Linked DNA regions of Saccharomyces cerevisiae S288C. The protein of the gene in region 1 interacts with the protein of each later gene in a biochemical or structural test. Each region holds a gene or a part of one and is shown in the gene's direction. Other genes may lie near its edges.

Region 1 (4,416 bases):
CACAACCCAGGCGGTCCAGAGAATGATTTAGGTATCAAGTATAATTTACCTAATGGTGGGCCAGCTCCAGAGAGTGTCACTAACGCTATCTGGGAAGCGTCTAAAAAATTAACTCACTATAAAATTATAAAGAACTTCCCCAAGTTGAATTTGAACAAGCTTGGTAAAAACCAAAAATATGGCCCATTGTTAGTGGACATAATTGATCCTGCCAAAGCATACGTTCAATTTCTGAAGGAAATTTTTGATTTTGACTTAATTAAAAGCTTCTTAGCGAAACAGCGCAAAGACAAAGGGTGGAAGTTGTTGTTTGACTCCTTAAATGGTATTACAGGACCATATGGTAAGGCTATATTTGTTGATGAATTTGGTTTACCGGCAGAGGAAGTTCTTCAAAATTGGCACCCTTTACCTGATTTCGGCGGTTTACATCCCGATCCGAATCTAACCTATGCACGAACTCTTGTTGACAGGGTTGACCGCGAAAAAATTGCCTTTGGAGCAGCCTCCGATGGTGATGGTGATAGGAATATGATTTACGGTTATGGCCCTGCTTTCGTTTCGCCAGGTGATTCTGTTGCCATTATTGCCGAATATGCACCCGAAATTCCATACTTCGCCAAACAAGGTATTTATGGCTTGGCACGTTCATTTCCTACATCCTCAGCCATTGATCGTGTTGCAGCAAAAAAGGGATTAAGATGTTACGAAGTTCCAACCGGCTGGAAATTCTTCTGTGCCTTATTTGATGCTAAAAAGCTATCAATCTGTGGTGAAGAATCCTTCGGTACAGGTTCCAATCATATCAGAGAAAAGGACGGTCTATGGGCCATTATTGCTTGGTTAAATATCTTGGCTATCTACCATAGGCGTAACCCTGAAAAGGAAGCTTCGATCAAAACTATTCAGGACGAATTTTGGAACGAGTATGGCCGTACTTTCTTCACAAGATACGATTACGAACATATCGAATGCGAGCAGGCCGAAAAAGTTGTAGCTCTTTTGAGTGAATTTGTATCAAGGCCAAACGTTTGTGGCTCCCACTTCCCAGCTGATGAGTCTTTAACCGTTATCGATTGTGGTGATTTTTCGTATAGAGATCTAGATGGCTCCATCTCTGAAAATCAAGGCCTTTTCGTAAAGTTTTCGAATGGGACTAAATTTGTTTTGAGGTTATCCGGCACAGGCAGTTCTGGTGCAACAATAAGATTATACGTAGAAAAGTATACTGATAAAAAGGAGAACTATGGCCAAACAGCTGACGTCTTCTTGAAACCCGTCATCAACTCCATTGTAAAATTCTTAAGATTTAAAGAAATTTTAGGAACAGACGAACCAACAGTCCGCACATAGAATTATTGGTCTTGAACAAGCACTAATTTTCCAAAGATGTTTTAACTGATCTTAATTTATATGTAGAGGATATATGTAGTATATCTATTTTTTGCTGATTGACTTATCAATTAGCTTCATAATACAACATTGTTTTTGTTTTTCGTTACTCGCGACTTTCTTCGCGGCAGAGCCGCGCTACAGGAAAACAAGATCAAAACATGCCCCTATTGGAAGGCTTAAAAAATGCTTATCCCGAACGAGCCAACGGTAATCAACACTATCGTCATACCAACAACAGTTGAGTTATTTTTCGCTCCCATACTTTTTAGAATTGGTTTGTTTGTGTTTGGTTAAATTTCAAAGCCTTTATATTCTTTGATATAGATTACTCTACAATTTCTTTGTATACAGCGGGAAATTGACACTTCAAAGTTCCTCTCATATCAACAAACATTAATACAGTTCCTGAAAATGTATTCTTGGAAGTCAAAGTTTAAGTTTGGAAAATCTAAAGAAGAAAAAGAAGCCAAACATAGTGGGTTTTTTCACTCCTCTAAAAAGGAAGAACAGCAGAATAATCAAGCAACTGCGGGGGAACATGATGCTTCAATTACTCGTTCATCTTTAGACAGGAAGGGCACGATAAATCCATCAAATTCATCAGTGGTCCCGGTTCGTGTTTCATACGATGCATCCTCATCGACCTCTACTGTACGAGATTCAAATGGTGGTAATTCAGAAAACACGAACTCATCTCAAAATTTAGATGAAACAGCAAATATTGGTTCTACAGGGACACCCAATGATGCCACCTCAAGTTCAGGAATGATGACTATCAAAGTATATAATGGTGATGACTTTATTTTACCTTTTCCGATTACCTCAAGCGAGCAAATATTGAATAAACTATTGGCCTCGGGTGTTCCACCGCCACATAAGGAGATTAGTAAAGAAGTAGATGCTTTAATTGCACAACTGTCCCGTGTTCAAATAAAGAACCAAGGTCCAGCTGATGAAGATTTGATCTCTAGCGAGTCAGCAGCAAAGTTCATCCCATCTACTATCATGTTACCAGGGTCTTCGACCTTAAATCCCTTACTATATTTCACCATTGAATTTGATAATACAGTTGCAACTATTGAAGCAGAGTATGGTACGATCGCTAAACCTGGTTTCAATAAGATATCTACCTTTGATGTGACAAGGAAATTACCTTATTTAAAGATTGATGTATTTGCAAGAATTCCGTCCATTCTTTTGCCCTCGAAGACATGGCAACAGGAGATGGGTTTGCAAGACGAGAAGCTACAGACCATTTTTGATAAAATAAATTCCAATCAAGATATACATTTAGATTCTTTCCATTTGCCCATCAACTTAAGTTTTGACTCTGCAGCTAGTATTAGACTATATAATCACCACTGGATCACATTGGATAATGGCTTGGGTAAGATCAATATTAGTATTGATTATAAACCTTCCAGAAATAAACCTTTGTCCATCGATGATTTCGATCTTTTGAAAGTTATCGGTAAGGGTTCGTTTGGTAAAGTGATGCAAGTCAGAAAGAAAGATACACAAAAAGTATACGCTTTGAAGGCAATCAGAAAATCATACATTGTCTCTAAATCCGAAGTCACGCATACTTTGGCAGAAAGAACCGTTCTAGCACGTGTTGATTGTCCATTTATTGTACCTTTGAAGTTTTCTTTCCAATCACCGGAAAAATTATACTTTGTTTTAGCGTTTATCAATGGTGGTGAGTTGTTTTATCATCTACAAAAGGAAGGAAGGTTTGATTTATCACGTGCCAGATTTTATACCGCAGAATTGTTATGTGCGCTAGACAACTTGCATAAACTAGATGTTGTCTATCGTGATTTGAAACCAGAGAATATTTTATTGGATTATCAAGGCCACATTGCCCTTTGTGATTTCGGGCTATGCAAATTGAATATGAAGGATGATGATAAGACAGATACTTTTTGTGGGACCCCAGAATACTTGGCACCAGAACTATTGCTAGGTTTAGGCTATACAAAGGCAGTAGATTGGTGGACATTGGGAGTCTTGTTATACGAGATGCTCACAGGTCTTCCTCCTTATTATGATGAAGATGTTCCAAAAATGTATAAGAAGATTCTACAGGAGCCACTAGTTTTCCCAGATGGATTTGATAGAGATGCAAAGGATCTATTGATTGGATTATTGAGCCGTGATCCGACAAGAAGATTGGGCTACAATGGTGCCGACGAAATTCGGAACCATCCTTTTTTCAGCCAATTATCATGGAAGCGCCTGTTGATGAAGGGTTATATTCCACCATATAAACCAGCTGTTAGTAATTCCATGGATACTAGTAATTTCGATGAGGAATTCACTAGGGAGAAGCCAATTGATAGTGTGGTAGATGAATACTTGAGTGAAAGTGTTCAAAAGCAATTTGGTGGCTGGACATACGTTGGAAATGAACAGCTAGGTAGCTCAATGGTGCAAGGTAGAAGCATTAGATAGACTTAGTGAATACATTATCAACTAGTTTACTCATGACATACTTTATATAAAAAGAAAGGTTTTCTTTTCCGTTACTTACTGTGTTCAAGATGAAGCAACTGTACCAATGGCGCAATTTAAGTTCTAGGATTTATATTTCGAACGTGGGCAATACTTCACACATGTGTGGCTTGTGTCTCATGGTCATAGCGTATTGCCTCAGCTTATTCTGATTAGATAAAGGATTTCCTCTCTTACCCTTCCGAGATCCGTGTCGATGGGGCGGCAGAAAATAAAAAAAAAAAAAGGTGTTGAAAATTTTCTCCTTGTATAAAAGATATTTTGATGAGCATCTCTCGTTTGCAGTAGCTTCTCCTTTTAAAAATATAAAGGTTGTTTTAATCAGCGTTCGACTTTAAATTAACCCAAGACCCCATTGTTAAAATTCTTACCTTAACCACGAACGGATACATTGTCTGGTAAAGAAATAACTTTTGTGCAAGACAACAGCTGACAAGATGATGGCTTTTGAGAATACAAGTAAACGACCACCCCAGGACTTTGTAGCTCCTATAGATCAAAAAAAAA
Region 2 (5,439 bases), on another chromosome or scaffold:
GACTTTGTAGATGTTGAAATATTTGCGTCTGTTTCTTTGTCTTCATTCCATACGTCATCCGATGTAGCATTAAGATCTTTGAATTTGGGTTCACTGTGCGCTAGAGAATCTTCCTGTGAAAATTCTTGAACATTAGCATTGGTCCCTTTATTAGAGTATACTATGGACCTAGTGTCATTTTCACCCAAAAAGGTAACGGGCTCATTGCTGCAACCTTCGTCAAGAACTTTTTTCTCATCAAAAGCATCATCGATATGTTCCATATTCTGTTGAAGGTCCCGCACAACATCGTTTTCAATAAGCGCATCCGCATCAGTAGTGACTGGATTATTTTGGCTGGAATCAGCACCCGGCAGATTCGTTGAAATGTTTAAATCCTCCACAGAGGCTGTTGGCGATCTTGAATCAGAATGTGAATTGTTACTAGTGTTCAACAATTTACTTGGAAGGTTACATTTCTCATCGACTGGCGTCATTTCGGGCGTTGATGACATACAAAATGGTAATTCTGGGATTGTTTTCGTATCTAGTTCTCGTCCTGTGCTATCAACTGAGGTGTCAGATACTAGACTTTTGTCTGATTCGTTGGGATTCAATGTGAAATCAAGATTGAGCTTATTAATCGACACTGCGTTAGTTATTGGAATCCTTGATGGAGAGTGTAATATTTGAGGTGACTGTGTTAAACATGTGTATGCATCTTCTTCCTCTTCATCTTCGTCATCGTAATTCGTTTCAATTTCAATAGAACTTCTGTGGATGGGCGATTCTGGATACGACAGCAGTGGTTGAGTCGATTTCAAAGTAAATTTAAGGGGAGAGCTGCTAAGTTTTACGGGCTTTTCCTCATCACGGGCTAGTTTATCTATATCTTGTGCCATATTTTTCAGATTATTAAGCACTTTGGGAGAATTGGCATGACCAAGTGCCCCGTTGGCAACAGAGTTTTTAATCCGTTCCTGATGCACAGCGGCTGGAGACTCTTCAAGTTCCGAATTTACACGTAAGAGACCCAAATTAAGGCTTTCATTTGAGATGGTAGACATCTTAGAAGGTGATCGACCTCTACTATTTTCTGTAGCATTCGACCTAGTATTGTGTTTGACCAACATTTCCATGGTATCATCGCCTATTTCCTGCAGCGGAAGCTTCCAGTTGTGTGGTGTATCTTCGGAACCATTTTGCGTGATATTAGACTTTGTTTGTTCCATTTCATTGTCTATCTCCTTCAGTAGAGAATCTACGGTACTCTCTGCGTCGTGCATGCTTCTGTACTTTTGTTTTTATATAATTTAATGAACTAAAAAATTCTTCTTGCACAGACTGAATCAAAGAAATATACACCAAACCAACGAAGTTTAGTGAATGGAGATGTTCCCTTCTAAGTGTTTCCTTTGCATAAATAAACATTATTGTTTTCTCGAGGAATATTTCATTGTTGTTTACCTTTTTCCAAATCGGGTCATCTATTCGTTCCTCGCGACAATGTCTCTTTTTCATTTGGACAAATTACCCGCCGACAATTATTGGGACAAAGGGGGGCGTTTCTCGTAGGATGACCAATGGCGCATAGAGATGAATAGTTAAAACAATAAGAGGCACTTCGAGAGATTTGTGTGTATGTGTGAGAAAGAGCGTGAACGTCTATTTATTCCTTCTTAAGATGGATAAAAGTAAGCAGATGAACATCAACAACTTGTCCAACATCCCCGAGGTGATTGACCCTGGCATCACTATCCCAATATACGAGGAAGAATACGAGAACAATGGAGAGAGTAATAGCCAACTGCAGCAACAACCCCAAAAGCTTGGATCATATAGGTCGCGAGCAGGAAAATTTTCTAATACATTGAGTAACCTTTTGCCCTCCATCAGTGCCAAGTTACACCATTCGAAGAAAAATAGTCACGGAAAGAACGGTGCTGAGTTTTCCTCTAGCAACAACAGTTCCCAATCTACGGTGGCGTCCAAGACACCAAGGGCCAGCCCTTCCAGGAGTAAGATGATGGAAAGTTCTATAGACGGTGTAACTATGGATAGACCTGGCAGTTTAACCCCTCCTCAAGACATGGAAAAATTGGTGCATTTTCCTGACTCGAGTAATAACTTCTTAATTCCTGCCCCCCGAGGATCTAGCGACTCGTTTAACTTGCCACATCAGATCTCGAGGACGAGAAACAACACAATGTCTTCTCAGATAACTTCCATTTCATCAATCGCCCCCAAGCCTCGTACTTCGAGCGGAATATGGTCTTCAAATGCTAGTGCGAACGATCCCATGCAACAGCACCTTTTGCAACAATTGCAACCTACGACAAGCAATAATACAACTAATTCAAACACGCTCAACGATTATTCGACAAAAACTGCATATTTTGACAACATGGTATCTACTAGTGGAAGCCAAATGGCAGATAATAAGATGAATACGAATAACTTGGCTATCCCAAACTCTGTTTGGTCAAATACCAGACAGAGATCTCAATCCAACGCGTCTAGCATATATACCGACGCTCCACTGTACGAACAGCCCGCTCGTGCCAGTATTTCATCGCACTATACTATTCCAACACAGGAATCTCCATTGATTGCTGATGAAATAGATCCGCAATCCATCAATTGGGTAACAATGGACCCCACTGTACCATCAATAAACCAAATATCGAACCTTTTACCCACAAATACCATTTCTATTTCCAACGTTTTTCCCCTACAGCACCAGCAGCCACAATTAAATAACGCGATAAACTTAACAAGTACTTCCTTGGCAACCCTATGCTCCAAATATGGTGAAGTCATATCTGCTAGGACTTTAAGGAATTTAAACATGGCTTTAGTTGAATTTTCTTCCGTGGAAAGTGCCGTAAAAGCCTTAGATAGTTTACAGGGCAAGGAGGTATCTATGATTGGAGCACCAAGTAAAATTTCATTTGCCAAAATCTTACCTATGCATCAACAACCCCCACAATTTCTTCTCAATTCTCAAGGCTTGCCATTGGGTTTAGAAAACAACAATTTGCAACCACAGCCTTTATTACAGGAGCAGTTATTCAATGGAGCTGTGACTTTCCAACAACAAGGAAATGTTTCTATACCTGTATTTAACCAGCAATCACAACAATCGCAGCACCAAAACCATAGTTCGGGTTCTGCTGGTTTTAGCAATGTTCTCCATGGTTATAATAATAACAATAGTATGCACGGAAACAACAATAACTCAGCAAATGAAAAAGAACAATGTCCTTTCCCTCTACCACCACCTAACGTTAACGAAAAGGAAGATTTGTTAAGAGAGATCATCGAACTTTTTGAAGCAAATTCCGATGAATACCAAATCAATTCGTTGATAAAAAAATCGCTGAATCACAAAGGCACTTCCGATACGCAAAACTTTGGACCTTTACCAGAACCATTGTCTGGCAGGGAGTTCGATCCACCAAAATTACGCGAATTGCGAAAATCAATCGATTCAAACGCATTTTCCGACTTAGAGATCGAACAGTTGGCTATTGCAATGCTTGACGAATTGCCCGAATTGAGTTCAGATTACTTGGGTAACACTATCGTTCAAAAATTATTTGAACATTCATCTGATATTATTAAAGACATCATGCTGAGGAAAACAAGCAAATACCTAACCTCTATGGGTGTTCACAAAAACGGAACATGGGCTTGTCAGAAGATGATCACTATGGCGCATACTCCGAGACAAATCATGCAAGTGACGCAAGGGGTCAAGGACTACTGTACTCCATTAATCAATGACCAATTCGGAAATTATGTCATACAGTGCGTTTTGAAATTTGGATTCCCCTGGAACCAGTTTATTTTTGAAAGTATAATAGCTAATTTTTGGGTTATTGTTCAGAATAGATATGGTGCAAGGGCAGTCAGAGCTTGTTTAGAGGCACATGACATTGTAACTCCTGAACAATCAATAGTTTTGAGTGCAATGATCGTTACATATGCTGAATATCTAAGCACTAATAGCAATGGTGCGTTGTTAGTAACGTGGTTTTTAGATACTAGTGTTTTACCCAACAGACATTCTATCTTGGCACCAAGATTGACGAAAAGAATTGTAGAGTTATGTGGCCACAGATTGGCTTCTTTGACTATTTTGAAGGTCTTGAATTACAGAGGGGATGATAACGCTAGAAAAATCATCCTAGATTCCCTATTTGGAAACGTGAACGCACACGATTCTTCGCCACCAAAGGAATTAACAAAGCTTTTATGTGAAACAAATTATGGCCCAACCTTTGTCCATAAAGTTTTAGCAATGCCATTATTAGAAGATGACTTAAGAGCCCACATCATTAAACAAGTCAGAAAAGTATTGACGGATTCTACTCAAATCCAACCAAGCCGCCGTTTATTGGAAGAAGTCGGGTTGGCATCACCCTCTAGTACTCATAACAAGACAAAACAACAACAGCAGCAGCATCATAACAGCAGCATTTCGCACATGTTCGCCACTCCTGATACTTCTGGACAACACATGAGAGGTCTTTCTGTTTCTAGCGTTAAAAGTGGTGGATCTAAACATACCACAATGAACACCACGACTACAAATGGTTCTTCTGCCTCTACATTATCCCCGGGCCAACCATTGAATGCCAATTCTAATTCTTCAATGGGCTATTTTAGTTATCCTGGCGTCTTCCCTGTCAGCGGCTTTTCAGGCAACGCCAGTAATGGATATGCTATGAACAACGATGACTTAAGTTCCCAGTTTGATATGCTAAACTTTAATAACGGAACCCGTTTATCGTTGCCACAACTGAGCCTAACTAACCATAACAACACTACTATGGAATTAGTAAACAATGTTGGCTCCTCACAACCTCATACGAACAACAACAACAATAATAACAACACGAACTATAACGACGATAACACCGTTTTTGAAACTCTGACTTTACACTCTGCAAACTGACGTCCCCATGTTTTCTTTTATTTCCGTCATCATTGGGAGACCACGCCGTTTTCTTCTCATACCTGCATCCATTCAAAACTATCTCATTTACCCCCAACGGTTTTATGGTTCAAATCCTAATAGAATATGAGCGAGCTAATGAAGAATTTGGGCATTTTCATTACTGGGAAGACGTGTCTTTTTCAAGCCATCATATCGCCAAATTTTTTTTCTACACCTAATCATGATTAAATAAATCCATAAAGTTTTATACAGTTTTTAAAAATATCATCATTTATTACCCAGATGTGTTAATGAACATTTATAGTCATCATTACTAGGCTTTCATTACTACTGAGGTTACCCGCCTATGGACCTTCCTTGGTAAAGGAACTTGTTTTAAAATTTGCCTTTTAACAAATTTAGTGATATGATTATCAAAAAAGGCGTGGCAAAATACATAACACCAAATTTAACTGTGCCTGTGTGTTACTTTCTTTTGTCCATACTTCACCAGTTTT
Region 3 (4,079 bases), on another chromosome or scaffold:
GAACTGTCCGTACCACAACAAACATCAGAGAATCTATCCAATATTCTAGCACACGATGAAACAGAAATCATAGACGACTATTCATGCCTGATCTGCCAAATAAGAGCAATCTTAAACCATGAAGAATATAGAAATTTCAAGGACTGTACCCCGGATGAAATTTTAATGTTGGACAGATTGAAAAATTATGCCACTAAAGCCCCAATTAACGAAAATTTACCATTCGAAGTAGAACAGTACGTCAAGCGTTACTCAAAGGGCAATTTGCAGGTATCTAATATAAAGGGAAAGGTCATCAAAAAAGATGTAGTAGTACAACTGCCAGACATATTAATTGTTCACTTATCGAGATCCACATTCAATGGTATTACATATTCTAGAAATCCCTGCAATGTCAAATTTGGAGAAAGAATAACACTTTCTGAATATACATTGGCTGAGAGTGGGACAATAACAGAAAACAGGCAAGTCAAATATAATTTGAAAAGTGTTGTGAAACACACCGGTTCTCATTCGAGTGGACACTATATGTGTTACAGACGCAAGACTGAAATTCGTTTCGGGAAGGAGGATGAATCTTCCTTCAGAAGAGCACCAGTTGTCAACAATGAAGTTAACAAGAATCGCGAGCAAAACGTTGCACATAATGATTACAAAAAAAGCAGATATAAAAAAGTCAAAAACGCCCTGCGGTATCCTTATTGGCAAATATCTGATACCGCCATAAAGGAATCTACCGCTTCAACTGTCTTGAATGAACAGAAATATGCTTATATGCTATACTACGAACGTGTAAATAAATAACCGCCCTGTACATAGGTATATTATAATAATAGTAAGTTACGCATCCATATCCACATCAGTATCCACTGCCATCATTTCAACATCGGTATCAGCCTCTCCATCATAAGTGTATTTCGAAGTCATTTGATTATGGAACCACTTCCACCAGCTTAGATAAGCAATTTCCTTATAATCTACCCATTTTATTATTTGTAGCCTTTTTTCTCTCAAACGTTCCCATATTTTGTCATAAAACAAGTCATTGTCGCCGCGTTTACTTGTGGAACACTTGATGATCTCTTTCAGGACCTTATCATCAATAGCGTCTGTGAATACTATATTGTTATGAATAAGATTGTTATCATCTGCATGTCCGTTCTTGGGCCCTTTATCATTTAAGGATAAATTCTCTAAATCTATAATTAGTCTTTTTCTTTTATAATTATCAATTCCTATTGGGTCTGGAGAATGATTTCTTTTCCTAATGTGGTTGGGATTGCCATTACTTCTTGCAAACCGGGAACTCATGGAATGAAAAAGTCATTTAAACGTGCCACTAGTTTTACTATCTGCTAATCGTTCTAGACGTGTAATATAAATCATATCCGAGCGCCGTTGTTGAATAATTTAATGCCTTCGTATTACATACATTTTGAAATTTGCTTTCGTAAAAGAGCGGTTCCCGGATAAAAAAGTGTGCAAATAACCGAGCCTTATTTGATTTCCAGTAAAGACCCAACCAAACGCATCATTGAAGCAAAAATAGATTAAAACTTACTGTTGTTCGTCTATTGAATTTTGTTCGGATTGGTGTGGTGTTTAATATCTTGGGCAGAAAGAGAATTGGCTTTATAGACACTCATAAAATCATCATTCCCCTTAGAGCAAAAGGTATTTTTAGAAGCCAAGAAGAAGAGCAGATAAAAAAGAAGTACGCCCTCTAACAATAAAAGTCAAATGGCTAGACAATTATTCACTCCTCCGATAACCAATCCAAGGTTTGACCCTAATCAATCCATCAGGGAATCATACAAGAACACAACTGGCGGCATGCAATTTCAACAAAATCTACATGAGGATCAAAATGACAATGAGAGAAGTAGCTGTGATGGTGATGAAAACTCTACAACAGGAGAAAGGCTAGAAAACAATAAGTCTCCTATATTGACAAAACAAGAAATTGACGAAGCGTTGAACACTGTCACCAATTTACCTCCAGAATTATCAAAATTAATTGACATTTTTATTGATGACCTAAAGCAGCCAAAGTACGTACGGCCACTATCAGTACTGCAATTGTCTAGTCTTTTCCAAAGCTTTTACATAAAATTTGATAAAGCATCATTCCAGCACGTCAGTTCAGCGAATAATAATGGCTATTATTTTTCTGGCGGGGGCTCTAGTTCATTCTTGGCTGCCAAAGAAACGTTAAGTAGTGGTCTTAGCGGAATTTTTGGCAGAAGTAGGAGTAGTAGTGGAAATTCACTTATGAGGCCAAGAAGATCTTCATCGCTTTTCAGTAATGAGTCAATATCAAATTCAACTAATGCCACACAAATGTTGTCACCTGAAGAGATAAAAAAGCAATTGAAAATCAACGAATTAAACAACATGAAAATCGAAAAATATATGGAACTTTGTGAAAGAGATGTTTTTAAGAAAATTCTTATAGTAGGCACATCCGTATCTTCACCGAATAAAATGAAAACCTTCAAACCACACCAATTACAAACTTTCAAGGTTGGAAATCTATTTAGAAACAGTGTTGAATTCACAGAATACAATAAGTTGTTGAATGAAAAAATCCTCTGTTTGTCCAAACTCTCAACAATGAATAAAATCAATTTGATAAAGTTTCTGAGTCTTAATAATGGCATTGATCCGGAACCAAAGTTTGAAGAGATCAAAGATATTTTATATGAGTTTACTTATCATTCGATTTCACCATGTGAAAAGATAAAGGCCCTACTGAAACTACATGAAATCATGACATATTCCCAAGAAATGTCTAATGATGATTATCTTTCGTTGCTAATCTACTACATTATTACGATTGTTCCACGGGATATTTTCTTGAATGCCGAATTCATCAGGCTGTTCAGATATAAGAAAAAGCTGGTCGAAACAGAATCCTTTGCATTAACCAATCTAGAAGCTGCATTAGTTTTTGTTGAAGGCTTAACCAAAAATGATTTTTCAAATGAGCTACAAGATAAATTGACTGTAAATGAAAGTAAAATTTTAGAAAATTCAATCAGCAGTAGAGTCTCATTGCCATCAAAAACTGCTATAATGCATAAAAACAACGGTAATAACGGCAGTAACCTAGGTGACATCGTGACTCCTACTATCCAAAGGCCAGATGTTACAAGATCGAATTCGTATGATGGCTTCAGGACCGTTTTTGATTCATCATTAAAAAATATCATCGGAAAAATTAGGTCATATACTCCACCACATCCTAACAATACTAGCAATAATAACCTTCACAGTAGCAACAACTTAAACATACCACGAAGTTCGTCTCAATTATCCATGGAATTGAGCAATAGAGATACAACAGAGATGTCTAGGGATGGCTCACGATCAACTTCATCATCTTCACGATCTTCAGCATCTTTAGAGCACGGAAATCGCGAATTTACCGGCGATTTGACAGTAACCGCTAGCATTAACGGTGCTGATAAAAAGGAGTTTCAGAAATCGTGGAAAAAATATAAAGGCTATAAATTTGAAGATTTGACTATTTGCGAACTAAGAGATCTTTTTGAGATATATCAAAAGATGATGCAATGAAACGTATATATGAAATCGTATGTATAGATGCGAAAGAGGAGGAGAGAAGGCTTTATTTCTGACTATCTTCCTCCACTAATTTGATTGATCAATTTATTTCACAATTCGGATAAGTGGTCTATTATATATAACAATTCGTCATGTAAATTGGTGGCGGTGTCGGAATGCGAAGCCAAATCAGGTAAATACTTATTTTCATTATCATTTTTTATCATATTCACTAATTGATTAATAAAATTTTTGGTGTAGGCCAATGAATTGGTGTCGAATTCCAGTATTTGAATCAGCTTTAGTTTTATATCTTTATCACTTGTCCTCAACAGGAGAATTCTTAGAATTTCATTGTGTTGCTCAGTTTGACCTTTCGTTTTAGTGAAGTTAAGGGCGTGGACGATGGGAAAAGATAACTTCCCCTCTGTAATGTCCTCAGCAAAGCCTTTTTCGCTGGACATTTGGAAATCTTTCAAATTCAAGTAATCATCTCTAATCTGATAAATAAT

What was found. Proteins that work in one complex are often made in the same cells at the same time.
Region 2: of the proteins of YPK1 (region 1) and JSN1, one has a biochemical effect on the other in vitro, tested with the Saccharomyces cerevisiae proteins (one study listed by BioGRID).
Region 3: of the proteins of YPK1 (region 1) and MUK1, one has a biochemical effect on the other in vitro, tested with the Saccharomyces cerevisiae proteins (2 studies listed by BioGRID).

Annotation. Positions count from the first base shown.
Region 1 is NC_001143.9:203,901-208,316, forward strand, and holds YPK1 (serine/threonine protein kinase YPK1), read left to right. Parts: upstream 1-1,806; coding exon 1,807-3,849; downstream 3,850-4,416. Other genes in the region: phosphoglucomutase PGM1, read left to right, coding at 1-1,353; RRN3 (rDNA-binding RNA polymerase I transcriptional factor), read left to right, coding at 4,347-4,416. UniProt on the Saccharomyces cerevisiae protein: Plays an essential role in the proliferation of yeast cells. Involved in a signaling pathway, required for optimal cell wall integrity, that acts in parallel with the PKC1-SLT2-dependent pathway.
Region 2 is NC_001142.9:594,561-599,999, reverse strand, and holds JSN1 (Jsn1p), read left to right. Parts: upstream 1-1,663; coding exon 1,664-4,939; downstream 4,940-5,439. Other genes in the region: BUD4 (Bud4p), read right to left, coding at 1-1,265.
Region 3 is NC_001148.4:419,208-423,286, forward strand, and holds MUK1 (guanine nucleotide exchange factor MUK1), read left to right. Parts: upstream 1-1,740; coding exon 1,741-3,579; downstream 3,580-4,079. Other genes in the region: putative ubiquitin-specific protease UBP16, read left to right, coding at 1-804; YPL071C (uncharacterized protein), read right to left, coding at 841-1,311; BTS1 (farnesyltranstransferase), read right to left, coding at 3,678-4,079. UniProt on the Saccharomyces cerevisiae protein: Putative GTPase-activating protein.